3 linked regions of the Arabidopsis thaliana genome follow. The protein of the gene in region 3 interacts with the protein of the main gene of each other region in a pairwise test. Each region holds a gene or a part of one and is shown on either strand. Other genes may lie near its edges.

Region 1 (10,870 bases), on a different chromosome or scaffold from region 3:
TTTCAAAATCATTGTTAAAAAGTACTATCGACTTTATATACTCCACAACATAAATTTGAAATTAGTCAGACTAAACCGCCAAAGTTAAGATTTTGTTTGTGTTTCTAAACAAACAAATTTTGCTCTACTTGATATCAATAATAAATCCGTCTCTTAATGACATTTTTTTTTACTATTTCGTTAACAAAATAGATGTAACTTAACTACTGATTACTAGTATTATTTTTGATTCAATATATCATACATACTTTTTACGTTTTAGTATAAATGTCATTTACAGGTTCTTCACATATAGTAAAAAAACAATTAGATTTTTTTGTCTATCGCTTATTAATATATTATACAATTTTTTATAATTGGTCAATACATTAAAATTGAATATTTACCAAATATCTACACTAAAAATAATAACAATACTTATTTTGAAATAAAATTTTAACACTAAAACGACACTTATTGTGAAAAGAAAGAAATGTATAACTTATAAAGTTAAAAGTTATAACCGAGAATATATGTATTCACAATGTCATTTACAGGTTCTTCACATATAGTAAAAACATTTTTTTTGTTTATCTCTTATTAATATATTATACAACTTTTTTTTATTGGTCAATACATTAAAATAGTAAGAATAGAATTGCAATTTCACCAAATACTGTAACTACATTCAAAATATAAAACAATACCTATTTTGATACAAACTTGTAAGAATTAAACCACACTTATTGTGAAACTAAATAAAAGTATAACTTATAAAGTTAAAAGTTATAACCGAGAATATGTATTCACAATCCGTGATATCCAATTGAGAGTAGTCCAGTCAAGAACTGCATTATACACACTGAAAAAGAGGAAGCCATTTTCTTACTTATCCTCGTCGAAGTTATCAAAAATAAATAAAGAAACAGAAGTTGTTGAGAAAAGTATTAATAATCGGTTCTGACTTCTGACATCGTGTGTTGGAAGAAATAATTAATACTTACACAGAGCATTTTGATAGTTTCAACTTTCTTTTTTACTTATGTTAAACTAACTCTAATCACATGTATTATGTATACAAATTCATATTTACGTTCACTTGGTTTAAAAAAGCACTCCACATACTTCATGCATCTTGATAATCCAACTATCTCTTTGTTTTTTTCCTTTGACATGGAATAACTTTATCAATCTAATCGATGAAAGAGATCCGATTGGTGAAGTTGAGATCTATCGCAAAAGAGTTGTTTCCGCGAAGAATAGTGAAGTCGATGATGGCATACCTCTCGGCCACACTATAAGCAACCTTTGAACAGTAGTTACTAGAGATTTGGTGATTGCATGCTTCAAATCAAATTAAAGGTGTTGTCAAAACTTTCTAACTACTCGAAGTTTCATAGGTAACGTTGTATTATTGCGGTACACCATGTTATCTCATGGGTAATTGCTTAGTGAGACTCTTAAAGTAATAATAAAAAAAAAAATTGGTACGGAGATATGGTACTAATAAGCAATTTCATGAGAAAATGTACAAAAACAAATAGTTTTACACTAACCAAAACCGAACCCGGATTTCTTTTGGTTAATTTAGGTAACCCTCTAGAAATACTTTGGTTAACCGAATTGGCTTCTTAGATAGAGCCAACCTTGGTATTTAATGCACGTTCATTTTATTGTTGACAGAGAAAGCTTTCAACAAATTGTCGGAAAAAATTGAATTCTCGTATTAATACCTAAGATCAGAGAAAAATGTTACAATCGTTTTTGGCTTCACACATTATATACATGGATAATATCGCCGCGTCACTGCCTCAACTACTTAGCCAAGTGGCATAATTGCTGCCTCCAATTCCAATTTGTTAGCCCTCATCTGAGTGAGGTCGTTTTGCAGTGGGGTAACCACAAAGGTCATTTTTTTAATACTCTTTTCTTCTAAATTCAAAGTTTAACTCGTGTCTCTCATGGGCCGGTCACGGTCTATGTCCAAAGTCCAAACTGTGAGTTCCTGATCGTAAGAGTGAGTCAAAAGAATCATAACTTCAAAAACCAAACCGCACCAAATAGAGATTGTTTAGTACTTCATCGGCTTGAAAAAATATCATTTTGACACATTTCATACAAATTAAAAAAAATATATATATATACATGAGTCCATATTTAATAAGTGATTAGTTTTAGAAGTCTTTATGAACAAATATAAAATTATAGAAAAACATTCTTTATGAAACCGAAAGAGTAAGTATTTGTAGTAATGCCAATTGTTTTGGAATTTATTTTTTTAGTGGGCCAATGAAATATGTATGGATCGCCAATAGGAGTGGAAATTGCAGATATTGTGAAAGCCTAGTCCCTATACAACAAGATCACTGCTTCCCAATGAATATTAATCACAAATTGACAATATGAATATGATCAACCACTGATTAAGACACTCACGTGTACATATATTTGAATTATTATTGGTTCATAGTCATGGAAAAATGTTTAGAGTGAGAATTTAGTGCAATTATAATTAAACATTAAATGTGTTTTCTTTAGAAAAATTAGTTTTTTCTTCGGTCAGTGTTATATCATAAATTTAAGTTTATTGAAGATAATTTTTTTTTATCAGTTTAAGGTTCGAAGGAATTTAACGTCAATAGATATTAGACATGGATGAGGTCAAAAGATGGCTTCTCGTTTGATATTTTTTTATGGTAACTACTTTGTAGAAAAGCATTACGAAACGCAATTCTAGAAATTAAAGTCATTACTGTATATACCTCTCCATTAGTGATTATAGTCAAGGAAAGGAAAAAAGGAAAGAGCTATATTAATGTATATGCCTGGAAGACTTGAAAATTAGATATCTATTATAGATAGTTTAATATTAGGTAAGTATGAAAGAGAAAAAAATTAAAATCATAAATTTCCTTTTTCATTTTGTTTAATTTACTAAATATGTCATTGTCTCAAAACACTATTTATTACCGGATATTTTAGACATGATACTGTTCATCAACTGCCTGAAGACACTATTCATCCGAAATTTACGACACTGTCGTATTTATCATTGGATTGCATAAAATATTTATGATTTATGTGGATAACTATTTGATTAACATGTTAACTAGTATAGTATCGTGCTAAATATATATAACTATTTGATTAATATGTTAACTAGTATAGTATCACGATAAATTTTTATATATCGTATTAAACCATTTACCATATCATACAAATTAATATGAAATAATCAATTTAACTTTATAATAACATGTTATACTGAATATAACGTGCTAACATATTAAATATCTGAATAATATTTATATTAATATGGTAAGATAGTTGATATATAGTGAAATTATAACAATAGTTGATACATGACATATTTGGTAAATTAAACAAAGTAAGAACTAAGAAGGACATTTATGGCTTTAAATTTTTTCTCTTTGATAGTTAACTAATATTGAATTATCAATGGTAAAAATCTAATTTTGAAATCTTCTGGGCATATCCATTGATATTTTCCAAAAGAAATGAAACATCATCTTCTCAAGTGAATCCTTCAGGACCCATCACTCTCCTCATTTTACCAGGAGGAGACAGTACCGCTGGGCTATTTCCATGTTGGTTTTGCTCGGAGGCCTTTGGTTCGAGTGCGTCTCCTTTGGAAGCTGGAATCTGAAGCTTCCCTGGCTCAGTTGGTGATGGAGAAGACGAGAAATACCTGATGAAAAAACCAATGATAATCAGAGTGATGAAACAGAATTTTTGTCCCGTGGGTTTCTTTTTCAAGAGTATACCTGTGGTCTAAAGCTTGTTGTATTGTGATCCTTTGACGTGGGTCGTAGATGAACATTTTTGCTAGAAGATCCAAAGCGTCATCACTTGCCATAGGGAAAATGGTACGTAATGGTGGAGCGGGTGTATAGGAGAATTCCATGTAGTCTGGGAGATAGATCATGTCAGACCATTGGGAAGGTACTGGAGTACCAAACGCTTGAAAGATCTTTCCAAGTTGATCAATCTCAGTAGAACCCTGAAGAAAGTATAGGAAATGTTTAGAGAACTACAGACTTTTTAAACATGAAGTACGAAGGGTATAGAGCATTACCGGAAGAAATGGTCTACGAAGTAGTAACTCAGCAAAAATACAGCCTGCAGCCCAAACATCAACTCCTGCTCCATACTGTCGACTCCCAAACAGTAACTCAGGCGCTCTGTACCATGTAGCAAATACCTGTGTGAATAAGTATAACCAATTTAAACTTAACGAATCTTCCACAAGCAGATACAAATAGCTAACCAAATGAGATATCTACACAAGTTACACAACCAATAAATCTCAGAATCTTTCTAAAGTAACAATGTTAATACATCCGTAAGTAACAAAACTGTATCTGGTGACTTTGAACCATCAATCTCTCATCTCACCAAAATCGAAAAACACAGGTATGCAAGAATCAAAATTAAAACCGTATGATGTCTTCTTAATACTCTGTATCAATTTTTCCATATCCAGCAAAAAGAGACTTCTACAGAACTAATCAATTGCAGAATCTTCTTGAGTCAAAATGTTAATATGACCGTAATCAACAAAATGCTATCCGGAAACTTAAACTTGTAATCACCAACCGAAACCAATAACATAGGTATGCAAGCATTCGAATTAAAAACATAGTATGTCTTCTCAATGCACTATATATACTCTTAGTTTGTCCCAGCAAAAAAAAACCAATAGATCATCAAGAACAAGACTAATCTACCTGTCAATTCAAACAAAAAATAGAAGAGATTTCTTCATAACTAATCAATCTCAGAATCTTCTAGGGTAAAAAAATGTCAATACAATCTTTCACCTCACCAAAACCAAACACACATAAAGTATGATATCTTCTCAATACTCTGTACCGACTCTTCATTTTGAGCATAAAATTCAAAATAGATCATCAAGAAGAAGTACCAAGATATTTACTACAAACTCCAGACTAATCTAGCTACCAATGCAACCATAAATATCAATAACTATATAAATACCTAACCAATAAATCCAATAAGATCATCAAGAACTACACTAACCTAGCTACCAAGCTCAAAACCGTATCAATCATAGCATCAATACCTGATGAGTAAACCTCCGATTCGGACTCCCAAACAACCTCGCCAAACCAAAATCAGCCAACTTCAACAAACCATTCTCTCCAATCAACAAATTATTCGGCTTCATATCCCTAACAACCACACCAAAAACAAACCATCAACACAATCAAAATCAAATCTTTATAAACCTAAGCATAACTTCTTACCTGTGAAGAACCCATTTCTTATGACAATAAGCTAAACCCTTCAAAGTCATCAACATATAAGACTTAATATCACCAGGAGATAAAAAGATATTACGATCACGAATCACTGCTTCTAAATCTGTTTGCATATACTCAAAAACTAGATGCAAACTTCCATCGTGAGGGAAAGCATCAATGAGTTCAACGATATGTGGATGATTCAGCTCTTTTAGTAGCTTGATTTCTCTTAAAGCTGTGAAATTTACTCCTTCCTTTTGGTTTCCTAATCTTATCTTCTTCACTGCTACAGTTTTCCCAGTCTAAGGAAATCACAAAATCGAAGATTGTTGAGTTTGAAAATCTTGATGAAATTGAAAACGAAATCGGGAAGGGTTTTTGATTTTACCTTTGTGTCGGTGGCTTTGTAAACGACACCGTATGTTCCTTCTCCGAGGATTTGACGGCGGAGGTATCTATCAACTGGTTGATTATCGCCGGATTTCGACATTGGGTTTAGATTCTCCGGTACACTTCGAGGAAGTACGAGGGCTCCTAGTGAAACACTTTTAAGAAATTGAATTCTTTGGTTTCAATTTTATACCCGTAAGATTTTGTGTTTTATGAAACGAACCTTATATTTATGAAATAATCAGAAACAGCCATATGATACTGTGGATAGCATAAATATGCTAACACTCGTGATTTGTTTGCAGGAAGTGATTCTACATGATCATCAGACCCTAGATAATTTAACCCTCCACCTCGAACTATTGATGATTAATCTTATCGAGTAGAAAATAATACACAATATAAATATCAAAGTAGCTATTTTTTACAAATTTACCATTTACCTAAAAAAAATATAAAATAATTTTACGAAATCCAAAATAATAGGTAATATAATTCTTATTCGTTATTGTCAAGTATAGGAATATATTATGTATTATTAGGTATTTAAAAACAACAATCTGTTTATTATAAAATATCGTATTTATTCAAAACATATAGGGCTTACTGGGCTTAGCCGAACACGGCTTTTATAATGTTATTGAGTTTAGTAATTAGATCTGTATTAATAAAAGTTTGAATAAAATATTTTTTAATATTTTAAAAGATATTTTCTTTTAACAAAACAAACATTTTTTTTTTTTCAAAGTAATCGAAATGGAGCCGTTTTTAACTATCTTTCGGTTTACCACAGAGTAAAATCGTTAGGCGAGAAATTGTAATGTGTACTACTTTTTTTTTTTTTTTTTTTTTGGTGAATAAATGCGGACTCATATTTTTGGCAGAACAACTGTGAAACGGTCCTAAAAAAATCACGGACTCATGTTTTTTTGGTGAAAGAATTATGGTTGATGATGATGATAATCATCATCATCAATGCTAACTATGACCATTTAACGGCACTTTTTTCAACAAATGATGAAGATCAAATGTCGCTTTGTACCTTGAGAAAATCTAGGGAAGTTATTCTACACCTATTACCAAATTCCAACCATCAGAACTCAGAATCTTGTTTGGCAACTGTTGGCTTTGCTTCGATTTAAAAAACCTTTGCCCAAAACATAAACATACAAAAATGTCAAGAATCACTTCCCTAAAGCCTCTAGAATTAAGTACAACAAACAGCATATAATGCTTTTGAAAGACAGAAAAGCAAAGCGCAACATCTGTGGAGACAATAGTTCTCAATTCTCATCCACTTTTCTTCAACTAGACTTGGTATAAGGATCATGATTCCTCAGGTTTTGGTTCTACTGACTGATCAGGTAAAACCTGAGCTTCACCATTGACATTAGGTTGTTGTTCATCAGATTGTTCAGGAGGAGCGGCAGTAGCAGCAGTCTGCTCTTCTTCTGGATGAAAATCTATAGGAAATTTAGTAACTCTAGGTTTGTCGGAAAGTATGTTCCTCTGAACTTTATCAATCAAAACCTTAGTTGGAGGCTCTTCCTTGAGTTGCTCATCCTCATAATCATTGTTCACGTAATATCCAACTCTCAAGAACTCTTGACCCATGTAAGAACATGTCAACAATAGCACAGTAACACCGATGATGTCTTCCTCCTGAATCTTTGATGGATCCGGAGGATCAGCCTGTAACAGTAGTAATAGAGAGTTAGACCAAGACTTTGTTGGTGCTTGGAAGAGGTAGTAGTGCATATGTTACCTGAAATACAAAGCGGTAGTTGCCAACATTAACAGGCCCTACAAGCACACTCTCTAGAAGTTGATCATAAGTCTCATCTTCTGCTGAGCCTACATAGATAAGCTTCCATTCCAAATCTGTACCACAAGCAAAAGCACGGGTCTATCTAAGTTATCCTCACCCTATAACAATGTTAACCAAGAACTTGTGCATAGATAAATCCAACTAATAGACAACAAGACTCTAGATTATCAATTAGAAAACAAACCATTAGAGCATGACTCTGACAAAGCAATTAGGTAACAATATGTTCCAATTACAATCAGCAGCAACAAATTGGTGTTGAAAACAATCCATAAGAATCAGCAGAGACTAAAACCTAAATAAAGTCGAGATGAATTACAATTCAGGGGAAGGAGAAAGAGGAGATTTTTACCGTCTTTGAGAGAATTCAAACACTCGTAAGAAATCTCGAACTGAAAAGGGCTAACAAAAGGAGCAGGATTATGCAATACAGCGACGTTGGTGATTTTGATTGCACTCATTATCTCTAATCAACAACCAAGTCGGAGAAAAACCCTAGGTTTCAATAAACTTCATCCAAACTCGGGAGAGAGAGAGACCCAGATGAAAAAGTTTCTCCCTTTTCAAAAAATTCGAAAGCAGATAATTCAAGAGAAGAGAGAAGAAGGAAGAGCTAGGGTTTTTTTTCCCCAGGAGAGAATTAATCAAAGAAGAAGCTTCAGAGTTTTTTTTTTTTTTTTTTTTTGATTAAGAAGACGATGAAAATGTTTTCAATTTTGGGGATGGCTTTCTTATAACCGGTTGTCGTTGGAATGGTGACCGGCTACTACCGGTTAAGTTGAATTGGCGGGAGGAATACTTTAACTCACGAAATGCAGCAGGGAAATTTGCTAAATATTTGATAATTTTAGTGTCCAACACATAAATACGAAAAAAATATAGAATTCAATCGATTAGTGACACAAATAAGAGATTACCAATCATATCCTATATACTTTTTTTTTTTTCTATCTTTCAATATTTTGTTACCAGTGTTACCATTTGTGTTTACGACATCAAAAAAGAAAAAGTGACGCACATAGATAATATATACAGATGGGTTAAATATTCACATAGTTCTAGGTAGAAATATTTACACATTCTACCTACAGATTAAAAACCACAAAAAATATTTTGTGAGTTAGGTTCCTATTTAAACACCCTTGCAACTTTGCAAGTGCTTGATAGCAAAAAAAAAAAAAAAAAAAAAAGTCTAAACGAACCAAAAGCAGATAGGAAGCGTGTTAATGTTGAGAAGTGATGTTCATTTTTCTGGTTTGAGCATGAAACATCTCTGCGATATCTGTAGCCGTACTACATTCTTCAGGATTTCTATCTGTCACTTTACTGATAAATCTCGGAAACCTAACAGAGATGCCTCGCGATGGATGGACGAGACCTAAACTGGCACTGTGAACAGGCGAGACTGTGAAATCAGCACCTCTGATTTCCCAAACTACCTCTGCGGAAAACCACATGTCAGGTGTCTCCCCTGTTCTGTAGTAAGGCGGCTTTTTCGCAAGGATCTTATCCTCCGAGTAGAATTCTTTCATCTGCAAGATAAGCAAAATAAGAAAGTAGAATCAAGCTTGAAATGGTTCTCACGTGACAATTAGGAGTCCAAGTATAGACCAAACCCAACGTATTTACTACCCCATCTGTTTCATCATTAAACAACAACGTTAGAGTTGAGCTTTTCATTACCTCGATGTAAAAGGCATCAGAAAAACCAGACATGACACGGCAGACACTCTGGAATTCTTCAGTCTCAGGGTTGAAGCAGGCCATAAGGAATGGACTATACCTACACACAAAATATATAAAAAACATCAGAATTCATCAAGATGCATTTGAGAAATTACCAGTAAACTTATGATTACAATTCTGCTTTTCAGAAAAAAAAAAAGAGAAAGTTGGAAAATATGTTTTTACTACCATCCTGCTTTTCTCCCATTGCCATACCAAGCACCAATAGGAACTAAATCCAATGTATCGCCCAATCCATCTACATAATCTCGCTTAACCTGAGCCAGAAAAGAAAAGCATTATTTAATCCATTTCCATCACATTATGTTTTAGTAAGATAATTTACAGCAAAGAGACCTTGAGCCATGAATCAGAGCGCTTTGTGGGGCAGTATCCAGCATTTACATCTAAAGACTTGACCATGATTCCTTCACAAGATGACTGAAATGCTTCTTCAAGAAAAGCATTTATCCTACTCAATGTGTCATGATTATTCAGAGACGCTTCTTCTGCTCCCACCTATAAAAATCAAACAATGATCAGTTCAATGAAAATACCAAAACACTTAGATACAGAAGAAGGCTATAGCCTATAACTTCTAGGTGAGAAACTACCGTAGCACTTACAGTTATTTCCTTAGCATACTCAAGATAACCTGGCCTAGTCTCAGGGAAGACCTCCTTTAGACCTGTAAGTTCAAGCAAAACCAAGTAAGATAAGAGTGGACATATATGAACCTGGTAGAGAAAATGAATGCATCAAGTTAAGGAAAAAAGAAAATGATGGGAATCACGTCTTCGTCTCTCACGGAGGGGAAGAGCCAACAGCCTGCATTGATACGCTAAGTAAATTACAACTCAACATATAAGTATTTGGATATATGCAAATGAAAATATAAATAGTGAGTAAAAGACTCATACTGTTCTCCATTGACAAACATAATATCAAACACGAAGACGCAGACTTCAACCTGCAGAAAGCCATTAGAAGAAAAGAAATACATCTAGAAGAACATATTGAAAACTACAAAAATGACAATGGACTAAGAATTTTGTATTCAAAGGATACAATAGGATGAAAAGGAAAACTTTCGTCGAATATACTGAGAAAAATAAATCTCATTGTAAAACGATGTGGAACTTCCATACTAACATTCAATTGGGTTGTATAGATATTGTGTTCAATACCTTAATACTTTCTGTAGTTATCAAAGCATCTTTGCTCCCTCTCTCTCTTGTTGATAACTCTTGGAATGACATGAGTTTGTTTCCATTTATTCTATCAGTGGCAACCACCTAAAACCATAAAAAGACCATACACCACGTATGACCAAGAGAATTTATGATGAGCAATTACAGGTTGAATTTGAAAACCGGAAAAAGGTCCCTTCCCTCGTTTTCCTGTGCATAGCTAGATGTGGGTTTGAATAGATAAAGATGCATAAAGTGAATTATATGAAAATTCTCCTACCTCTGCGTCCAACATGAATGTCTCAGCGGCAGGGCAAGAAAACTGTTTTATGACATCAACCAGATCCGGAAATCTGGACGTTGTTTCGTCCCCATTCCGAGAAAAGATACACACAGTACCATCAAGTAACTTATGGATCTGGGCGCGCTGGCCATCATATCTGAAAGTCATATTTAGGCATAATATTAAGGTA
Region 2 (10,767 bases), on a different chromosome or scaffold from region 3:
AGCATCTTCACCTTAACGTTCTTTCAGCTGGGTTACCACGTGAGTTGGTCTGTCTTACTTGGTTCATATTAATTATGTCTTTACAACTGTTTTCATGTCATTCACTCGGTCTCACTTCACCTTCTTCTCTGTCAAATTGCTGTTTCAGCTGGATGTCAAAGTTGCTAAAAAGGCCATTCTTGAAGGTACATATATAAGTTTACTTCATAAGTCTCTTAAAACTTTTTAGTCATTTCATTATGGCTTTTCAGATCCACAGGTTCTCAACTGTTAAAGCAATTTTACTTTCAGGTTTCCGGAAAACTGATGAGTTGCTCCTGCAAAAAAGTGTTTCAGGTAGTTTGTGTATGTGTGTGTTTGTCTTGGCTATATTCTGCATCTATGTTTCGAATGTCTGAGCTTTTATCTCGGCTGTTGATTGCTTTCCTATATCTTCTCCATAGAATCTCTTAGTTCATTCATATTTATGCTTCTCTCTGACCTGTGTCTTGTACAGGAGGATGGCAAGATGGAGCCACAGCAGTCTGTGTCTGGATACTTGATCAAAAGGTATGACTGTGATGGGGTCTCTGGAATTCAATATTTTTACTCTCTAGATAAATTTCATAAAATAACTCGACCTTTTCTCCAGTATTCACACCCATAAACTCTCATGCTTTATAGGTTTTTGTTGCCAATATCGGTGATGCTAAGGCTGTTTTGGCACGATCCTCTACTACCAACGAATTGGGGAATCATACAGAAGCAGGTAATCCACTCAAAGCAATTGTTTTGACGAGAGAGCACAAAGCAATTTATCCACAGGAGCGCTCTCGCATTCAAAAGGTTAGTTTTTGATGAGCCAGACAGAGACTTCCAAGTAAATGTGAGCACACCATGCTCTGTTGATAACTTGCTATGAGTTTCACAGTCAGGTGGTGTTATAAGCTCAAATGGACGGTTACAAGGGCGTCTTGAGGTTTCTAGGGCTTTTGGTGATCGTCATTTTAAGAAGGTAATGATCCGGTGGCTTCCCACTTTATATTGAGCCCATTATCTGTGACATTTTAGCTCTCGCGTGCAATATTCTATCGACATGTTCTTGAACCTTGCTCCATATCATTTTGCAACTTCAAATGCCTAGAATCTGTAACTTATCCTAAAATCTTATGGTTTATTCGCATCTAACGCAAGTTATTGAATCTAGTTTGGTGTCAGTGCAACTCCAGACATTCATGCTTTTGAATTAACTGAGAGAGAAAACTTCATGATTCTTGGTTGCGATGGATTGTGGGAAGTAAGTAAGCTCTTCGTTTGTGGTTTTGCAGTGCTCTATAAGAACATTTCATTTTGTCTTTATATATCAAAGTTTGCTGCTCATACACAATGCAACCGTTTTCAGGTGTTTGGACCAAGTGATGCTGTTGGATTTGTCCAGAAACTTTTGAAGGTAAATACCTACAGTTGTCAAAATCACTTTGTCCTCCATTTCACACTCTCTTTAACTACATAGAAAGAAGCTCAAAAAACAGATGTTTTTCGGTAGCCATGTGAGCAAAATGGCTTGTTAGAACCTTGTGCACACAAGTAAAGAGTGTCAAGGGAAATTAAATGTGAGAAACTAAGAGGCTAAGAACTATGATTTTGTAGGAGGGCTTGCATGTAAGCACGGTAAGTCGCCGTCTTGTGAAGGAAGCTGTGAAAGAACGTCGTTGCAAAGACAACTGCACAGCAATCGTGATAGTCTTCAAGCGGGTATGACTAAAGAAGAGCCTGACTGACATGTGGGCATCTGTTTTTCTGGCTCGTATGTGTTTTATAAACCTGTTGTTGGTATTTGGTAAAATCTTTTTGAGCTGTCAATGGATCAATTAAATTCCTGGGGCCACCATCGAAAGAAAAATGAGTTTGAAGATTAAACAGAGCTCTCTTTGTACCGCAAAGAATTCTAGAAGCAAAAAGTAGAAAGCTTTATAATCATAGACTTCATAGTACAGTATGATCAGTTTACAATGAATAAAAAGCCTATGGGACAACAAAATATTATCATTGTGAATCTAAGGTCCCTCTGGTTTGTAATCAAGCTAAATATGGAAAAGAATAAATCGCCAGATTACACAAGCAGCAGTAAATTGACAACTTAACAATGGTGTGGTTTCACCAGAACATGAAAATGGAGAAGCTAAGAGAAGAGTGCATAACCAACAGTCTTACTGGAACTCAAGATCGAGTTTCCTCTTCAGATGAGATCTATCAGCACTACAAATTGAACAAGAAGAAGTCATTAAAACACAATCAATCTTGAGGCTGTAATGACAAATGAGATTAATATGCAGTGAGGGAGAAACTGTCTTGTTTTTTACCTGGTGATTGTTGGCCTGTTTGGAGGTCGCTCAGCGAGGATGGTAAAATCTAATGACATGGGTGCTTGTTGATCCTTGTCAACATGAGACTTCAAACTATCAACCCTCCCACGCTCAGGCATCACTCTTCTAAGCTTACGTGGTGGTGATTGCACTGTAATGGCCTCATGTTTACCGTAAGATGATTTACCATCCTGCTTAGGAACGGGCTTTGGGAGCTTAGCCGGGTCAGTAGGAGCAGGTGCAGAAGTGAAGTACCTGAAATAATGAAAACAAAGGTGTGAGAGCAGAACGCTAGATATACTTTGCCTATAAACAGATGGTGAACATTAGGCACCTGTGTTCTAGAGCCTGCTTAATGGAAATTCTAGCCTTTGGGTCATAGGTAAACATTTTGGACAACAAGTCGAGAGCATCATCACTAACTGCTGGGAATAAAGAACGTAGAGACGGTGCAGGGACAAATTGATACTCTACATAATCTGGAAGCTTTGTTAAATCCGGCCACTGATCTGCTTTTGGTGTCCCAAAAGCAGCAAATATTTTGCTTAATTGATCAATATCACTGTTTCCCTGCAACGGCAAAAATAGAATAAGTAAACATACCGAGAAAATTGATAATGAATATGTAATTATGTAGTCTGAGAGTGAGTATAACATCCAAAGAGATGACAATTGGACTAAAGTTTTAATGGTAGCCATTAGATTTGAGTAAGATTATTTAACCTGAAGAAATGGTCTGCGTAGTAGAAGTTCGGCGAATATGCAGGCAACGGCCCAAACATCAACTGCAGCACCATATTGTTTTGCACCAAACAAAAGTTCTGGTGCTCTGTACCATCTAGCAAACACCTGTGCATTATCAGATATATCAAGATATGAAGATAATATAACAACTAGAAACAAGAGAAAATAAGTTGCATTGCGCATTTGGAAACAGAGCTCACATGGATTCTATTGTAATTTTGGGTGTTCAAAGGGAAACAAAGAAGGCAGAAATAGCTCAGGTCAAAAATCCGGTTAACAGCAAAACTTTTAGTACAGATATGAGATAGCTACTGCACCATCATTTAATATGAGTTGAGACTGTTTAATACATGTTACATTTAGTATACAACTAGAGAAATGAAAAGACATGAGACATCTAATCTTCCTCATCCCTAGACATAACTACTGATAAGAACTACTTAAAACTTTCTTATCAATATTTCATATGAGTTAGTCGATCAATTTGGTTATATTACAGCAATAGATAAAATGGCAATGCGGCAAAAGGCATACCTGGTGGGTAAACTTACGATTTGGACTACCAAATATACGTGCTAAGCCAAAATCTGCAAGCTTAAGCTGTCCATCAACTCCTATTAACAAGTTATTTGGCTTCATATCCCTGAACTCAAGCCACACATAATCAGTGCCCAAACCAAGCAACATTACAGAGACAATAAGCAAGTTGTTAAGGATAAACAAATGTACCTGTGCAAAACCCATTTATCGTGGCAATAAGCAAGTCCTTTAAATGTCATTAGGAGGTAGGATTTAATGTCGGCGGGTGAGAGGAAAATGTTAGAATCGCGAATAACTGCTTCGAGGTCAGTCTCCATGAACTCAAAGACAAGATGCAAGTTTTCCTTGTGAGGAAATGCATCAATGAGCAGAATAATATGAGGATGCTTTAGCTCTTTGAGCATTTTGATTTCTCTGAGAGCTGTAATATTTACACCTTCTCTTTGTTTACCAAGCCTTATCTTCTTAATTGCTACAGTTTGTTCCGTCTGCAAAATTACACCCCACAATTACTTCCCCTTGATCCAACAAAAACTTCAATCAAAATCCGGAACCAAAAAAGAAGGAGAAATTAGGAATTGCCGACAGATCCTAAACCCTAATTTTGCAAACAAAAATCAGCAAAGATATGACCTTAGTATCAGTGGCTTTGAAGACGACTCCATAGGTACCTTGCCCAAGAACCTCTTGCTTGAGATACCTATCAGCAACTTTCTTTGGCTGCTCCGGCATTTTCGGGTTTTTCAGAACCCACTCAATAATCGCGCCTCTCTCTTTCTTCTTAATTCACGTCGCTAGAATTCGATTGCTTTCCGATTTTTATTCTAAATTGAGTAAAATCGACGATGAGGAAGATACCGGGAAAATTTAGGGTTTCAGCTTTGAGAGCTCCGGCTCCGGAGAAAAAGTAGCCGTTGGCGCGTTTGCAGACGCAATCGGCTAATCGAGGGAAACAACAAATAAAGAGAAACGCCCAATTATTTACTTTTCTAGTTTTTTATACATTTAATATCCAAACATTTTCGATTTATAAAAGAGAAAAATATTATTTAATATCTAAACTTTTAAACAATAGCTAAATTAATCGTGAATTTTTGATTTTTTGAAATGACTGTTTTATACCTCAACAAATTTAACCTATAACCTATAAAGCATATTAGCAATCCACGTGTTTTTGCTAGAGTTTAGCTGATTTCTTAAGAGCTATCGTTGCTGTTTCTCGTCCATATCCCCTTCCTTGATAGTTTCAAGCTCTTTGCCAGTAATCCATTCAGGGAGTATAGCTGCATACTTGCGAGGTGGTGGAGGCGGATACTTCATTGTCGGCTTCTGGTCACTAGCAAAGCCCGGAGGAGGTTTTGGAATCTGAAGCGGTGGTTCCCTTACCCTCACCCTCAATGGAACATCAGGTATCCCATAATCACTAAGTTTGATCTCAGGTCCCTCATGTAATTCTGCGCACGGTATCCAGCAAGCTTTTTCTGGTAATAAGCATGATAACGATCTGAGCTCCAGAAGAAGGAGTACTTTGGGTTTCCCGCATAGCTTGTCATCATCTTTCTCTCCATCTCAGGCCCCTCCATGAAAACCAAACGGGCTGAGCTATCCGCATAATATCTAGTCCTCGGAGGTACATCTGCCGGAGTTCGATTGCAAATCACTCGACATCTCTTTTCTATACAAAGAGAAACACAAAATAATAGATAAAGTTAACCCTTGATGACAAGAGATGCAAAGAGATCGATTGAATGTGTTGATTATCACTTGACCCTGAGCTCTATATGACTATATTTATACAAGGGGTAAACTACCAAGAAAACGAATTATCTTCCTAAACGTAAATATAAGAAAAGGCAAAGATACATATCCAAGGACTACTTAGGGTTTCGGAGAGAGATAACAAGTACCGTACCTCACCCACCGGAAAGTAACAGCCACGCCGCGAGAGCCACAGTGACGTCGTGAACGAACGAACTCTAGTTCTGAAGCTTGGAAATTGACAATTGCAAATCAACGGAGAATATCCTCTTAGAACAAATCCACGGAGCCCTATGCGTAGCCTAGCACTTATAGACGAGAAACTTGTGCTCCAGGTTTTATAATGGGCCTCTGTTATTCGGGCTTATAACTTCGGGCCATATTTACTTAATTTGAAGTTAAATTCGGTTTTGGGTCGAGATTTTGGGTTTTAGTTGTTTTTTGTTGTGAGAGACGTCGTTTTCCATTTTCACCATACATTATCTACTTAACCGGTAAGAACCAAATCATACATACATGAACTGTTATGTTATAAAACCATTCTGTTTAACATCAGAACATTACGGAAAAACGGTCTATTTCCCCATGGGAACTATCGCATCTGGCTAGATGAAGCCCGATCTTTGACCTCTTGCTATTTACCCATGAAATGAAAGTTAAACGTCTATTTCCCCACCAATTAAAAGTTCAAGAGCTTAATGTCCCCGAATCGTGGTTACTTCGGTTTGATACGTAAACCCGAGACGAAACCATATTATCGGTCAAAACCAAACCAAAAAAACCCGGATTCGTTTTTAAAACCCGATCCATTGTCGAATCCCAAATCCAAAATCTAAAACCCCAAACTCAAAACTCAAGAACCCTAAATCGATTCCCAATTTTTTTATTTCCAGTTGAAAGATGAGCAATCTGTCATCAAGTTCGTCGGGATCTACAGGACCTCGTGGTCGAGGAAGAGTGGTTGGAGTGCCAAAGAGATGTTGGATTATGTCCAGTTCTCAGAGCATAATCTATAACCGCCTCTTTGAACGCAACTCCACTGAAGAAACTCTGCTTTTGGTACAAAAACCCATCACCACGCCTCACATGTATGTCGGAACTGTCGTCGGCTCCTTCACCATCGCTCTCCGGGTACACGTCGTGGCGAATTGGTGGTTCGTCGGTCCACTCGTTTAGCATTTCTTCCAGGTGAAAGTTATCTCTGTCTTCAGCTTCGGGATCGACATCACCATCAAGATCGGGGTCGTGATGGATTAACGACATCCCGACATCGATCGATCAAAGTTTTAGGGTTTGGAAAAACTGGATTTGAGGATTCGTCAGGTTAAATTAGGGTTCGTCGGGAGAGAATTTGGGGATTTTTTTGTTTAGGTTCGAGAGTCGGGTTACGGGTCATAATTTTGGTTTAAATTAGGTTTATTCTGGTTCTAAATAGGTTTAGTTGGTTAAGTCATCGGTTTCGCATACAGTAAACCGACTTAATCCAGTTCATGGACATTAAGTTCTCGAAGTTTTATTTCGGGGACATTAAGCTCTTGAACTTTTAATTGGTGGGGAAATAGACGTTTAACTTTCATTTCATGGGTAAATAGCAAGAGGTCAAAGATCGGGCTTCATCTAGCCAGATGCGATAGTTCCCATGGGGAAATAGACCTTTTTTCCGAACATTACAAATAGGCTCAATATCTTCAAATATCATTTACAAGGAGAGGCAGCTTCTGAGAAGTAGAAGAGAGTCATTAGGAAGCAATGCGACGACAACGACACCAGAAAGCTGTACCGCCACTTCTACCTCGAGCAACGGCTATTTCTTCATCGATGTAGAACCAAATGAAGAAAGGGTCTTTATTACTAGGCTCTTCCACAGCGTCTTTCTTCCCCAAGCTGAACTCTAGAGGATCTAATGGTCCAATCTTTATGCGGATCTGTTCGAAGACAAAAGCTAGTATCCGATTCTTCCATGAAAACCTTCCTTCGAATGTTAATGCTCCAAATGGACCAAGATACACCCCATTCTCTATTCTTTTTCCCTGGTTGAAAAATCAAGCACAAGAATTGTTTTGTTACTTCCAAAATATCGGCTTTCAGGATTTTAAAGTGCCTCAACACTTTTACCAATCAGACCCTAAAGCAGTACTAGAACCAGTTTAGAGACTTACCGCAGCATCAAATCTCTGAACAGCAGTTAGAGGGAAATAACGACCTTTCGTCAGTTTCTTCTGTATTTATGGTATATAAGATCCCAAGTCAATGATTTGAATGGATCAATCAAGACTGCAATATTTATAAAAACATGTAAAGGCTAATTGAATATCTAATGGTACCTCGGCGGTGAAGATAAGCATCCATGTTCGTCCAGGAGACTCGGGACCACCAAGCGTTTCAAGGAAAGTGGATGGATCAATCTTAGCCTTTTCGATAGCAGAGAAAGCAGCTAAAATCTCATCTGCTGCAACTTTCCGAGTTTTTGCAGCCGTTTTTAATACATTCACACTCTCCGTTACTTGCTACATTTCAAAATCATTTCACAATCAAGTAAAAACTAGTTGCCTAGATATATTCAGAATCTTAAAGTTAGTTAGAATTCATGTAATTTCCATTCGATTCAACCAAAACTCTAATAACCACCTTGGTTCCATGAAATTCTATCTCCTAGAGCTAGAAGTAAACACATAACACTTATGCGAAGAGTCCCAAAATATAAATTTGACCAGAAAGTAACTTGGATAAGCTTTGTACTCCTCAACTGAATTTCTCTGAAGGAGTTCGTTATGAAACGACTCTTCATCGGTCTAACACTATCTTTTCAAACACAATCGAAATGAAGAAGGGTGCTGCTTACTTTGTTAGGGATTTGATCTTTTGCCGGTGGGACAATCTGGTTCCTGCCATCCACCGTGGCTTTCACCAAATGTAATCTCTCCCGACGACTAAAGAACAGAGACGAAGAAGATGGGGACGAAACACATGAAGCTAGTGAGACCATCATCGTCTCTGAGAAGCTCCTCACTTTTTTTCCCTCTTCATCATTCTTGTTTTTTCTTCCACATCACTTTTTCAGACAAACCAAAAACAAAAACACACTAGAGCTCGTCGTTTCATTGTAATCCACAAGTTTTATTTGGTTGAGAAAAGCTTTCAGTTGTATATTGTTTGTGTCGACCTTTACCTCAATGTCCTCGGACCGAATCCTTCCAATTTTAAGAATTGTTGTATGTTAAAGTTTTATAGCCAGTATAAAATTTCAATAAATTTCCATCGTGTTTAACTTGATCCAATTCGGTTTCATAATTGCAGCTTATGTTCTATAGACAAAATCCAATCCATTTCGAGTGAACTTGGATGCACGAGGTTATTTATGGATTAACCTGACCGAAACAACGAAATAACTTGTCGTATGAAGCAAAAAGCTAGAATGAGCTAGAAACCAATACTTGTCTGACAAGTATTAAGGAACGAATAGAGTTTCTTCAACTATGAAATATCAATCTCCAAATAGCCAAAAAACATACTCGCCAGCCAAAAGGGAGGTAGTCGTATTAACTGTTAATTTAATTTGAAAGAAAAGTAAACTCTCACTCACGTTCATCATAATTCTCTCTAGCTTTGAAATATAAAGGAAAATCGGTCTCAGGTAACACCTCTCCGCAGCTTGTAAATCTCAACTGTGCACTGAAAAAAACAGGTATTAGGACTTGGGTTTTAGGGAACTCAGATTTCTTAGTCCGAATCATTCATGAAGCGTTTTCCTAATCTCCCTCCTGGTGCAACCCGAAAGCCGTCTCCTGCTTTCCAAAGAAACAGAACCCAGGTTTAGATTGGCCATTTTCTAAAGTTAATTCTTCCATATGGTGGCTTAAAAATAATTGAAATCATAAGACTCCTCACCTTTTCTCTCACAAAATTTGGATCAAGCGCTTGAGACAGAACTTAAGAGCTCGGTAACCTTTCCAACAGCAATTGTTTTTCCTGTACCGTATCTCAGATAATTAGGATGAGTAAAACTAAATGCATTAAGCATTGCATTTGATATCTCTGAAATCTCTTCTTACCTTCAGTTCGTAGAGTGAATCTTCCAAGTTGAGGGAAATCTGAGAATTTTTCAATACAAATTGAATTCGTAACCTGCAAGTGATACAGCAAGGGTTGAGAAATAATAATTTGCGAAATATAAATATATAAATATAAGTAACTTAAAACTTCTGGCTATGAATACGTGTATAAGAGAAACAGGAAACGGTAGTTAGGAGGAGACAAACCTGGATGCGGCACACAACAGCAGCACCATTCTTCACAAACAAAACTTTCTTTTTCATTGGTTTCCTTGTCTTGAGATCAATTTGGCTTTTCAATTCGATAATCTCACACTCCTCGACAACCGCATGGATGTGGAGAATTGCCTTGTAACCAGCTGTAAAAATAGCCTACACGAGCAGCAAAATAATGAAGATTATTTAAAACTGTATATACTCAAACAAATAACATTCTAGAACGTGTGCCTTACGTTGTCAAGCAGCTCAAGGATTTGTAGTTGGGCAACAAACTCGGTAACAGCAGGGACAGGGTTTACTGCAACAGAAAACAAAGAAAAAACAGCTAAGAGAAGACTAAGAATTCGGATATTAAGCCAAAAAAAAAAATGGCAATGCAAATCATTTATTGTGAAGGCAATCTGTAAAGCATTATACTCACCAATGCTGGATAAAACAAAACCAGAAAGGATGTCCTCATCTTCAATGCCAGTAATACGAACTCTCAAATTCTCACCCGGTCCTGCACGCTTAACTTTATCCTCATCGCAATATATAGCAACAACTTTCACTTGTTCCTACATTGATTCATGAAAGTCATCAGGAAAACAATAAACTGGCAATGAAATATGAACTGAGAAAGAAAAAAACATCTGAAAGCACCTTGTTCGGCATAACAACCAAGGAATCACCCTCCCGAATGCTGCCAGATTCTACTTTTCCCATAACAACAGTTCCCATGTCCTTGAACTTATCAATAATTGGCATCCTACAATTCATAAAATCGATTCCGGTTAACAGTCTACAACATACAGAGATTGGTTTACAGTAAAAGACATGCCAAAGTTGTAGAAGTTGCATGTGATATATAAAACAATGCACAGAGATGTGTTAATCCATTTAAAACATGATTATACACAAGTAATTGATTTCCTGAAATGCAACGACCAATAATTAATAACAAAGAACAACCGGAATAAAAAGAGAGAAAACAAAAAGTGGGCAGCGGCGGTTCACCTGAATGGACCATTAGGATCGCGTGGCGGAATTTCAATAGAATCAAGTACTTCAAAAAAGCTAGGGCCACTCCACCAAGGACAAATTTCTTGACCCATCCTCTGGTCCATATT
Region 3 (11,882 bases):
TCTTACACGGCATCAATTTCCTCCCAGGTCATGGTATCTAAATCAAGTATATGCAAATCGTTCAGAAGCGATCTCTTTGCATCCTGGCCACCAAATATCACCAAGCTTTTTCCCACAAGGGTCACTGACTGACCTCCACGCGAAATCTGCTAGCAAGAGAGAAAGAGAGAGTGATAAAAATATTCTCAGCTTAATAACAGGTTCGATTTCCAATATCAGAGAGGAGATCGATAAATTGGGTTCAGAATGCAACTTAATACCTGAAAAAATTATGAAGAACGAAAGAGAGAGCAACTTTTAATTTTTCTTCCTTCCATATATTCAAATTTTTACTTGTTTACTAGATTGGAATACTTTTCACATAGAAAAACTGGGAGAAAGATGATTTACCGGTGGCTTCCCGTATGTCTTTAAGATTGACCATGAACAGCAATGTAGATCAAAGACCATCACTGTAATGAGAAAACAGAAGAAAAAACTGATATACAAGAATTGGTATGCTCCAGAAATAACAACTTACCCGCAATTAATCATTTCAGAAGTGTTTCAACTCCTACCTGGCATGGATTCTGAAGGATCTTTTGTATGACCACCGATAGACAAAAGCTGGTTATCCCATGGTATCTACATAACAAACAAAGAAGGCCAGTATGTGATTTCAAGAGGAGATTACTGAACCGAAACCTGCCCCTGATGTTTCAAGGCTAGAAAACGAAAAACCCAAAACATATGCAAGTTAAAATACTAACCAAAGAATGACCAGCACAGTGAGTTAGTTTTGCTGGAGATGATGTTTCCTGTGATCCAGTCACAACCTTGGTTTCAACTCTTGACCAAGTCCAGTTTTTTAAATCCAGAACCTGTATTTGAAACACCATTTACAGAAGACATGCTTCTGAATTGTCAGCAGAAGTGTCACAGAAAAAAATAAATGGGAGAAGGTTCTTGAAGGTAGGCAAAAGTGAAACCTATTATTTCGATTAGACAAGTTACTGCTGTCAAATAATGCTATAAGTTGCTTACATGAAGATCACCTAGATAACGGCCGTTGTGGTTTCCACCATACATATACATCTTATCTTGAATAACCGCTGCTCCATGCTGAAACGGATATAGTAAACAAGAATGAGAAAAGAGAGAAGATACACGAAGAGATCGTTTCCTTTCATGTTCCACAAGAGAGTCAAATTAAATATTACCTGATATCGGGCTTTTGGTGGCTGACCTGATGTTCGTGGTGCAGTCCACTGATTATACACAGAAACAGTATCTGGGTCTTCCAAAACTACATCTTTATCTTGCGTTTCTGTCAAGCGCCCATCCTCAGAAGTAATCGTCTTTGTCTCACCAAATGAAGCTCCACTCTCAAAACTAGGCTCAGCCTTTGTGCTCTGCAACAGGTAAAAAAGTAAGATACTTCTCGGATGAGGCATTGTTATATTAATTAGTAGCAATACTTACATACAAAAACTGAAATTTGATCATACGTATAGGCGATGAAAAACTCACATTGATTTGGACATGTACAGCAGGGTCAAGAACAGAGTTAGATGTCCTTGGATACCAACCAGGATCTGCTTCCTTTTGAAAAGTGAGCAATATAGGAAGAAATTAGCCTATGATTAACAAATGAAGAGAAATGAGAATAAACTCCTCTGTTGATATTACCTCCAAGATTTTCACAAATAGACGCATTGCCTCAATGGAGGGCATGGTTCCAAGCCCCTGCCAACTAGTAAACATGTACTTTTCTTAGGAAGCTTACACAGATGACTTTGCTCAGGGAAAGTCATCTTAGAGAATGCCATTATGAGGTCTGCGATCTCGATCTGTCTTTCCATAATGGCATTCTCTAAGATGACATTCCCTGACATGTTACCAGTAATTTTCTTGCATGCTAAAACCAAGGTAGCTCCTATTTCATGTATTCCCCTAGGATGGAAATACAAGTCTAAAATCTACGATACTTGTTGCTGTAGCCCTAATTCATGAGACATCTTGATACTTGTACTCAAAAAAGCTACTTACACATTTGATGATGATACTTAAAAGCCTCTCCAAATGTAGAATAGTATTGACAGACACAAAAGTGAAACCAACCTTTTCCATTTGCTTTGCTCTACTGGATTCCACGCACTCGGTTTTGGAATACTACAAGGTCCTAGAGTAGCCTGTTAACATGTCAAGGCAGAAGATTTCAAAATTAGTAAACATCTTTATCACAAAGATGATTGAATAAATTCTCTCTCAGTGACAAAATAAACCAGTTTTCGCATAGCAATGATCCCAAGTATAAGCACAGTTCCATTGTCTAATGTACGGAGCGAGATCGTACCAACATCTACTGTAGCAAATTGCGAAAGAAGAGAAATCAACAGATCCCTATGGAATTCAATTGAAATCGAATTGACGAACCTGCTGGTGCAACGTGTAGAGAAGCAAAGAGGTATCGTTGGAGAATTTGGAGCTGAGTTGTTTGACCGACGATTGAGATCCGTCGAGGCCGACGTACGATGCGGCGGCGTAGAATCTCTCCGGGTAAGAAAGGCCAGAGCTCGCTCTCACCATGTGAGCCATTTTGTTTCCGTTGATCGGAGATTTGAGGAGGAAGCCACAGTTTCAAGTTTTCGGATTAATACTAATTTGGTTTTAGTTAATTACGAAAACTTGATGCAGCGTTTATATAGCGCGGCACGACAAGTTGCTATTTGCATGCATCAACTTCCAAAATCCAGTTTCTAACGTTTTTGACTTTTTGGCACAAAAAGAATTTGTTATGTTTGACTGATAAATTATGTGGGTGATTAGTTACACAGTAGCCAGGTCCGTCTATGACCCATAAAAGCATAGGCATTTGCATAAGGTAAAATATTTTATGTATAATATTGGCAATAAGTGTATAAGCTCTAACTGTAGAATTTTGACGGTAACCTCTTGGTTTTGTAGATTTGAAAAATATAGGATTTTGGCAATAAATATTTTAGTTGTAACTAAAAATTATGATTAAGAAATATTTGAATTTTATATTTATAAATTACCTTTTTTCAAAATGAGAAAATTGTATATCATAATTACTAAAATTATTTAATAGCAATTATAAAATAAAAACACAAATTGAATTATGCACATCTAGGTAGATGGAATATATATAAATTATTTAATAACAATTTTATAATAAAAACACAAAAAGAATTCTGCACATCTAGGTAAATGGAATCTATATAAATTTATAAATTATTTGTCTAAATGTATAAAATACTTTATCTGTTATTCATATAACTACATTTTAGATTATTAGTTGAAAATAATCGTGACAAAAAGTTAGAGGAGAGAAAAAAAAAAAAAAATCTACAAAAAAAAAAAAATCTACAACACAAAATAGGATGTAGAAAATTAAAGATTTACAGTCAAAACAAAAAGATTTTTTTTGGGGCTCTAAGTTAAAGAAAAAAACTATAACATAATTGGCAACAATTTAGTCTTTAACAAATATATTATGGCTGTAAAAGACATTTAGCACAACCAATCAAGCATCTTTACAAGTTTCATTCACAATCCAAATTTTATTTTCGATGGTTTTTGGTTATTTAATACAAATTTTCATTGTTATTATTAGGATTTGATAGTTACCGCTACACTAGTCATATCCATTTGTTTCTGTGTAAGAACAGATGTGGTAGTAACTAGAAAGTATCAAAATGTCTGGAAAAACTTTTGATCATGTAAAAAGTTGATCATTATCGCAAACAAACCATTTTTGACGATTGTTATGTACACCAAAACTTAAAATAAATGGAAGTTTTGTTATAAATTCATTAACATCTTCAGAATAAACAAAACTTATGGCCAATATCATTGTTATACATAATCTGCTCAAATTTACTAGTAAGAACAACAACGGGGAAGAAACTATAAAAGACGAATTTCTCATTCAATAAGATTAAAACTAAACCAAAGTGCAAAGGAAGAATTGCTAATGGCAGTACGAGAAACTCAACCTATGGGTGGCGGTGCCCCGTTTGGTGTATCATTGGAGCTCCTATGGGACTTGTGTTTTGATCTCTTCTCCCGTTTCTTACTCCTGATGAAGATAAATAGAGAAGGGAGTCAATTGCAGAAGCAAAGCTTATGAAATATATATAGTGGTTAAAAGAATTAGTAGAAGAGAGGTTGTTAGTGTACTCGTCATGTGAAGAACTATGTCCTAGACAAGATTTTAGCTTCCGGTTGATATGCTTCATGTCCTTTTCACTTGGGCACTTGTAGTTCTTTACCTGAGATAAGAGAGAGCATCTAGTAAAACTTCCTTTTAGATATGCAAGTTTCATTGTTAAGATAATTATGGAAGTTAGTAAATACCAAATATTCGATGTTATCAAGTAACTTTGTAAGCTCTGAAGTCGTGTGCTCAGAGTTCGGTTGAGAAACAATGTTCTCTAGGTACCTGCACCAAATGCAGTTTAGTTGAAAATACAACCAGTAAAAAGCTTTGCATATACAGAAATTCAAGACCACGAGATTAATATCATGGAAAGATTAAAAGGGTAAATAATCGGGATGGATATAGAATAAGAGAAATAACCTATCAAAGTCAATCACTCCAAGAACCCCATTTGCAATACGTAACGACGCCAATGCCAACTACAAGGGCACACGTTCAAGAGTTGAGAGACAGTACAACAATTTGTGATACTTCTTTTGTTACATATACGCTAAAGAAAAACGAAAAATCCTGAAAGAAGGAACAAGGTGAGTATATATCGATAAGCTATACTACTATATCATAAACATTCATTAATTTCACTTAAATATCAGTCAAAGAGAAAACAAAGCACCAACTTTCATCCTAAATTTATGTCTTGAGTAGCATATTTAAAGCTTTACTGAAATATCCCAAACAATGAGTTTAACCAGATTCTTTGATGGATATTATTCAGTATCTTTAATCTGATAATAAGAGGCTAGGGAGACAAAATAAACTAGCATGCCCACCTGGCCAGGAGGAAAGAGGAGTGGAGCATCTGTGAGCATAACTTTATCGGCTTCTGCTGTCGCCCCTTTGAGCAAACTCTGCAGAATACTTGAAAAGTTATGCCAGTATGAGAAAATAATATTTCAATAAAGCCTGTTAAGTAAATAGACTTACAGCTATGATCACAAACTTACACTAAAATTTACATTTTGATCCCACATTCAGTTACCACATGCTTAAAATCTAGTGAAGATAAAGGAAATATCTGAAGATAGATCTACCTCTAGTTTTTGGATTTCATCATCTCTAGCTTGAAGAAATTCCTATAGGATGAAAAGATGAGGTTACTTTTGAAGATAGCGTGAAGTTCAACAAGGATGAAAAATAACACACCGAAAAAAGTATTGAAAATCTTGGTATATCCTATTATGGTTCACCAAGTTCTTGGCGTTAAGTTAACATTCAGAATTTTGTTTGCAACAAAACAATTGCCAATAAACTGAAAAAGAGTCTCATCACTATAAGATGTAAACAGAGAAAAGCCAGTTGAAATAAGAAAACCTACTAAGAAATTTAGACAGGACTGATTTACCTCCATGTTGTTGACAAAACCTTCGATTGCACGATACGGTGCATAAACAATCAGATCAAATTCCAAACTCTGCACATAGAGTTAATATAATATGAACAAAAGAATAGAGAGAGAAAAGAACACCAGGGAAAAATAAACATAGGGAAGTTGGTACAAATTAATTGACTCATATCATACCTGAAGAACAGCCATCTCGTACTTGAGAATTATTCGGTGATCTTGGTTAATCCCTTTCCCAATTTCCTCAGCAGATACATGATTCTCCTCTATTTTACAAGCTGCATACACACAGGTTAACCTGTTCAATGAAAGGTAACAATTAGTCCAAATTACAACAATGGACCATTTATGACTGACTTAAAAAGCCTCTCAGAGCTCAGAAATACAAAATGCTTAGCTCCATTTGGTAAACAATTTCAAAACTATTCTCTTGAAAAAAGCAAAGCTTTTGACCATTTTGAGGATTTAAAAGAACTATACATTATCTCTTTTGGATGATGTTGCATAACAGACCATTGCAGATAAAATCTCTTAAAGTATTGGAGGGCTGTTGCCTGCAAAATATTAGAAGGAAGAAACATAAATTCAGAGAGCAAACAAAAATCAGGTATTTTATTTTTAACTTCATCATAAACTTCTATCTCGACGAGTAGAAATGCACCTGAATCTTGTGAGGAAATGCAAAGGCACTGCACACTTCTTGGACCTTTGCCTCATAAAATGCTCTCATGAACCTTTCTTCATCAGCACTCAAAGGCTTAAGCTTCTTATCAGCTGAGAGTAACAAAGCAAAAAGTAACATTATTTAAACTTCGACAAACAAAACTATGATACGTATGAAGTAGATATTGAAGGAACCAAAATTTTTACCTTGATCTCCTGAACCAACTTTATCTTTAGGATATGTTAGTGATCCACTAGCATCTACTTCAACTTGAGTTGTTCCACACTATGAATAACAATAAGTTAAAATCTAAACATGAATACAGGACTAAAGCTCCATATCAACAATTATTCTAACAAACCTTCTCCAGCATTTGCACTGCCCTCTGGTTAGCAGCTTTATATCTCTCTGCCTACAATTACAACATTACAGCTTAGTTGCAATACCAATATCTCTACACAACAAGTAAGATAATAACAACAACAACACACATAACTAAGTAACAAAGAGTTCCAAATGCTCGATTAATCCGACTCTCTATGAAGCAATCAAAGCAAAGAAAATCCAAAGATGAACAAAATATAATTATAAAGCCGCATTGTAGTGATCAGAAGGAGAAGGGGATTACCAGTTTCTGGGGAGTGAAAATCCACTTGGCCCGTTGTGTTGATGTCTGAAAATCCGCCATTAACTGAGTTTTCAAAATTTTCGAAATCGAAAAATCTGAGCTTTCGAATTTCTTTGTGGAAAGTTCAGATTTTTGATCGAATTCACACGCTGTTGATGGCGATTATCCGTCTGAATCGGAAGGAGATTCTATAGATATTTCAATTTTGAATTTTAGGGCTTATATTAGAATTTAGGAGAAAAAATTATCTGGTGCTCGATTTGAATGGAGATTGGAATTGGATTGAGTTAGCTACGAGAAGAAGATGTTTTTGGTAATGAGAAGACGAGAATGAGGGAAGAGAGGAGAGCAGACGCAATATCTTGTCGGAATTCAGATGTGAAGACGAGTATGAAGGGAAAAAGAGGAGAGTACGGCAGAGCAATACAGTGTTAATGTCGGAAGTTGCTCATACGGCGAGATCGTTCCTGGCTTTGAGACTTGCGAGGAAGAAGAAACGTTGGTGAAACGACGTTCTTTCATGTTAAACAATAAACCCTAAGGTCAAACGATGTCGTTTAGCAAACATATTTATTATAAACGGTGTCGTTCGCTAACCCATTAAAACCCTTATTAACAGCCCTTTACTAACAAAAAAAAGAACAAGAATTTTCCAACCAAAAATAAGGTCATGGCTTAAATTTATGTTTCCAACCCTTAATAACACCCATACATGTGTCCAATTTATAGAATCTAAGTAAAAGTATAATATAGTGTTAATCAATCATTTTTTGAGTTTGACTCACGATTTTAGTTAGGTCTGGACATTCGGATTTTCGGGTCTGTTTAGATTGGGTTTTTGGGTTACTTTGGTAAAGAGATTGAAAATACATTTAGGAACTGAAAATATCGGTTGAGGTCTATTCGGGTTCGGGCTGGTTCTCAAATTTAATTGAAACCTGATATTGAACCTGAATTTACCGACAAATTATGTATACGTATTATTTCGAGTTACATGTATCCGTTTGAGTTTCGATATTTCAGGTATCTGTTCAGGTTTCAGATCCTACACGAACCAAACCAAAACCCCAAAATAAACACTTTAGATCCACTCGAACCAAAGCGAACTAGGTTTTTCGGGCTTCGGATTTTATGGTCATGCCTAGTTTTGTCCTTTGAAACATTAAAATTAGAAGTAAATCTACATATACATTTTTGCAGCCATTTTAGCAAATAAATTTTGTACTTGTATTTACAATGTCATGCCATTGACATTAAATATTTCCTGTCGATAATTAAATACAAGATATTATATTCAACAATAGTTGCCAAAGATCTTTCAAGATATATAATTGGTATTAATTATTCAGATTTGAAAATTTAAATACTTTATATTGCGCTCAACAAACGTTTCCAAAAATCTTTCCAACTTAAGTAAAAAATAATTATTATTTTTAAATATTATAGATATATTTTAACTTTATAAAACATTATTATTATTTAAACTTATAAAAAAATATCATGAGATGAGAAATATAGCGGGACGGGTTTGGATTGATATGAAATATAGTGGGACGAGTTTGGATTGATATAGCACATGTTAAATATTTATTTTATTATTTTATCATCACCATTTGTTTTAGTTATAACATTAATATAAAATTATAAAACTTAAATACTAAATTAAAAACCGTAAAATTTAATATTATTATATATGAATAAAACATTTGTCCGTGGTACACCACAGGTTAAATCCTAGTTGTTATTAAAGGTATTTCAAACATATCCATTTGGCATTGTTCTAGAATTTTAGTTAAGGAATAGTATATATTTGAGATTTTGTATTAAGGTGGGAATAAATTATTTCAGCCATTAGGATCCAAAATGACCCAAGAAAATAATCACTGAGAAAGAAAGAAAAAAAAAACAGCTCCAAAGTAAAAGGTAACCAAAGTTACAATGAATGATGACAAAAAAAAGTTACAGAATCAATGGTAACTAATTATCAACAGCCTTTGGAGCTGTTCAAATTATTAACTAACTATAAACTAAACTAACCTCTACAATCCAAACAATTAAATCTGATCTCCAAGTGTTATCTTCGATGTCAGGTTAATTACAAAGGACACAAATGTTTCATGACGTTCTTACAAGAGCCATTATTTGAGTCTTGATCAATCCCATACAAGTTTGAATTTCTCTGTATATCGGCATATTCTGTGGACACCGTGGCTGCAAGTCATTCACTACTGTATCCATTAGCTGAGCCACATCTGCTGGTGGGTACTGCTTCTTTGAGATCATCTGCAGGTAAATAACACACAAAGAGTTCTAATCAAAACCGCATCAAGTGAAAACTTTGGTATTCTTGATTTAGATTACACTTTCGTTAGTCCAAGACAAAATTATTTCCTTTACCTGCATCATGAGCCAAGATGCAACACAAGAGGTGATAAGCTCTGAAGGCATTGGTGTTTTGTTTTTTCCTGATCCTTCCTGTGAGATGAAACCGTTACTCATCGGCTCTGCTGTGTTTAAGGAATGATGATCCAAGCTGCCATTGGTATACTCTTGATGCTTGATACCAGGCACTATAGAGTTGTCTAATGGCTGATGTTCGCCAATGGAGCTTAAAGCTTGGTGAACCATATTCTCTGAGTCTTCATTGTTCTTCCCCGACGATGCAGCCTAAAACGGTTGACAACGATTTAAACAAAAGATGTTAGAGTTGTATGAATTTGGCTTCTCTGTATTTAGAAGACTCTGAAGTCTCTAGATATATTATAAATACCTTTATAGCTGCATCCACCATTGCTTGCGCTATTGACTTTGATTCAATGACAATTTCAATCATTTCTGGCTCCATTTCCTGGAAAGCAGAATCATGAGAAAAGAATTTCTGTAGCTGTTACTATTAGCAAAAAGAGTACACAAAATAAGTCTATACTTATTCGAACATGAGCAATCTAAAGACAAAGTTTCCACAGGCATAGACTTTTTAGTTACCTGCGCATCGGAAGTATGCTGCAGTGCCAGAGTCCGTTGAATTTCTGTTCCTGTTACTTTGCTATTGATTACGATAGATTGATCAGTAGTGTTGGTTGCTATTACTTTACCATACAAAACTGGCTCTCTGATATCATCCTGCAGAGAATTATGGAATTATCCACAGAGATTAAAAAATGTATGGAAAGAAAGACGAAGATCAAAGCTTTGACACACGAGTCAAACGTCAATCTTTGTTTACCTGTTTCGCAGGAGGAGGATTCATGGAAAAGTTGACATTTTCAAGCACAGAAGGAGAGAACAGAACAGATGCATCAGAGCTTGGGTGTCTGTTAAGCCTTGCTTCTTTGCATATAGCCAAGCACTTATCAATTTGCCTCCTTAGACCCTCTGGCATGTATTCCAATGGATTTAAAGGCATGCAGTCAATGTCCTGTCAGAAAAAAGGATTTATTAGATCATCTGAGATATACAAAAAATGGACAAACTATCAACGGAATTGATATAGTTTGTGATTTACCATAACTAACTCGACACCCAATTCATCAAAGAGAACGTTGCACTTGTTATGATCCACAGTAAGAATCTTGCCATCACGAATCTCCCGTGTTTTAGGATGGATGGCAATCACTCTATTCCCGACTGATAAAGGACGGGCCAAATCTGTATGAAGCACTCCCGTAGCACATCCACGCAGCTCTGTATAATGCTTTCTCACAGACTCACGATATTCTTGGAGTTTATCCCGCTCATCCTGTAGGAATCTCTGAGACAATCTCCGAGGTCTACCGAGAGAACTGAAAAAATTACAGAATGAGTAACCTTTTGTATCTTTATAATTCCATCGACATACATACACAGAAACTTTAACAAACCTTTTAATGACACTCCATTCAACACGAGTAAGTCTTGGAGCGTGACCAAGCCCCACATGATTTAGATAATCAGTGAACTCCATCTTTGCAAACCAGGGATAGTCAATAGCACTGTAGAACCATTCATATATGCACCATCGACGTACCAATGGATATGACAGACAATTTGACAACTTCTCCTGTAAATGGAATAAGCAAATAAGAGACCAGATTTATTTGATTTGTATAAGAAAAATGAAGTTAGAGACTCACCTGTAGTAATTCATGTTCTGAAAGTTTTTTGAAACTACGTGGTTTGTCATGAGTGGTTTCTAAAGATTTAGCTCTTTCTTGTAAACTTTTCTTCAAACTTATCTTACGCCTGTTTGGTGGTTTCTGTGGCAAAGTCTCTGGACCCGAAGCTGAAACTTGTGTAGCTGGCACTACTGCATCCGGTCCAGTTATTTTCTTATCACTAGCTGAAGAAGATTCTACCGTGGTCTTTGCAGTTTTCAGCTGTTTTGCTGGACCTTGACTAGAACGTCTTGCTTTGACGGGAGTCTTCAAACTATCAACTTCAGCCGATTCCTGCAATGCAATAAACAAAAATCATTAGAGAAAGCACAAACAAAAACTACTAAAGCATAAGCTTCTTTGATCAAAAGAATTTGTCAAGGATTCTAAAATTACAAGGAGTAACCGCAGATCACAGAGTACGATTAAATAGGAGAGAAGCGGGTTTTGCATATCTATAGGTTTAAAAGAATACCTTAGTATATAGAGATTTGTCCTGTGTAGACTCTTTTGGAGCTACAACATCTAGCACCTGAAACTGAATGTAATTTGCATATAGCTATGTGATACACAGAAGAATGACACGATAACAAAGAACTTAAAGAGAAAAACTGTCTTGTAAACCAAACCTTTGGTTTACGTTTTCTGCTTGAAGTGCGAAGCTCCTCGATGGAAACAACATTACCATCAACGGATTCCGGCACAGACTTCGGTTTTCTTTTATCAGGGGCTGAAATTGCATGCAGGAGATTATCTTCTAGTCCTGCTTGTTTTGCTTTTTCTCTGTGATGGCTTGTTGACACGGTTTCCAGAGTGTTAGATTTCTTATCCACGTTGTTAGTTTTTCTTTCTTCTTCCCAGTGTGGAGATGATTCTGTATCCAACACAATAAA

What was found.
Region 1: the proteins of CYCH;1 (region 3) and CAK4 interact in a two-hybrid assay, tested with the Arabidopsis thaliana proteins (2 studies listed by BioGRID, with this or other methods).
Region 2: the proteins of CYCH;1 (region 3) and CDKD1;3 interact in a two-hybrid assay, tested with the Arabidopsis thaliana proteins (2 studies listed by BioGRID, with this or other methods).

Annotation. Positions count from the first base shown.
Region 1 is NC_003070.9:24,889,659-24,900,528, reverse strand, and holds CAK4 (CDK-activating kinase 4), read right to left. Parts: upstream 6,007-10,870; 5' UTR 5,755-6,006; coding exon 5,653-5,754; intron 5,567-5,652; coding exon 5,268-5,566; intron 5,193-5,267; coding exon 5,084-5,192; intron 4,202-5,083; coding exon 4,076-4,201; intron 4,001-4,075; coding exon 3,765-4,000; intron 3,689-3,764; coding exon 3,514-3,688; 3' UTR 3,270-3,513; downstream 1-3,269. Other genes in the region: SGA2 (ASF1 like histone chaperone), read right to left, coding at 6,981-7,346, 7,420-7,535, 7,835-7,943; LIG6 (DNA LIGASE 6), read right to left, coding at 8,706-9,014, 9,166-9,265, 9,397-9,485, 9,565-9,726, 9,834-9,895, 10,001-10,035, 10,128-10,177, 10,395-10,502 and 1 more.
Region 2 is NC_003070.9:6,204,939-6,215,705, forward strand, and holds CDKD1;3 (cyclin-dependent kinase D1;3), read right to left. Parts: upstream 4,591-10,767; 5' UTR 4,362-4,590; coding exon 4,263-4,361; intron 4,118-4,262; coding exon 3,819-4,117; intron 3,733-3,818; coding exon 3,624-3,732; intron 3,524-3,623; exon of another isoform or gene 3,208-3,523; intron 3,195-3,207; coding exon 3,069-3,194; intron 2,916-3,068; coding exon 2,680-2,915; intron 2,601-2,679; coding exon 2,343-2,600; intron 2,239-2,342; coding exon 2,190-2,238; 3' UTR 1,933-2,189; downstream 1-1,932. Other genes in the region: AT1G18030 (Protein phosphatase 2C family protein), read left to right, coding at 1-47, 149-185, 292-336, 497-549, 664-825, 911-994, 1,187-1,276, 1,382-1,429 and 1 more; AT1G18050 (SWAP/surp RNA-binding domain protein), read right to left, coding at 5,024-5,304, 5,547-5,617, 6,328-6,650; AT1G18060 (microbial collagenase), read right to left, coding at 7,127-7,417, 7,547-7,606, 7,712-7,894, 8,230-8,376; AT1G18070 (Translation elongation factor EF1A/initiation factor IF2gamma family protein), read right to left, coding at 9,298-9,356, 9,440-9,512, 9,647-9,811, 9,892-9,956, 10,080-10,215, 10,301-10,439, 10,655-10,767.
Region 3 is NC_003076.8:9,766,796-9,778,677, reverse strand, and holds CYCH;1 (cyclin H;1), read right to left. Parts: upstream 7,376-11,882; 5' UTR 6,917-7,375; coding exon 6,857-6,916; intron 6,641-6,856; coding exon 6,590-6,640; intron 6,514-6,589; coding exon 6,435-6,513; intron 6,339-6,434; coding exon 6,226-6,338; intron 6,119-6,225; coding exon 6,045-6,118; intron 5,863-6,044; coding exon 5,742-5,862; intron 5,634-5,741; coding exon 5,565-5,633; intron 5,296-5,564; coding exon 5,254-5,295; intron 5,071-5,253; coding exon 4,993-5,070; intron 4,642-4,992; coding exon 4,583-4,641; intron 4,445-4,582; coding exon 4,360-4,444; coding exon of another isoform or gene 4,294-4,359; exon of another isoform or gene 4,275-4,293; coding exon 3,999-4,274; coding exon of another isoform or gene 3,994-3,998; 3' UTR 3,803-3,993; downstream 1-3,802. Other genes in the region: ACBP5 (acyl-CoA binding protein 5), read right to left, coding at 7-146, 391-452, 558-624, 750-860, 1,024-1,101, 1,200-1,391, 1,510-1,581, 1,669-1,732 and 2 more; ALY1 (protein ALWAYS EARLY 1), read right to left, coding at 8,972-9,139, 9,254-9,523, 9,627-9,704, 9,842-9,979, 10,083-10,274, 10,362-10,638, 10,717-10,895, 10,969-11,283 and 2 more. UniProt on the Arabidopsis thaliana protein: Associates with CDK-2 and CDK-3 and activates the CDK kinases.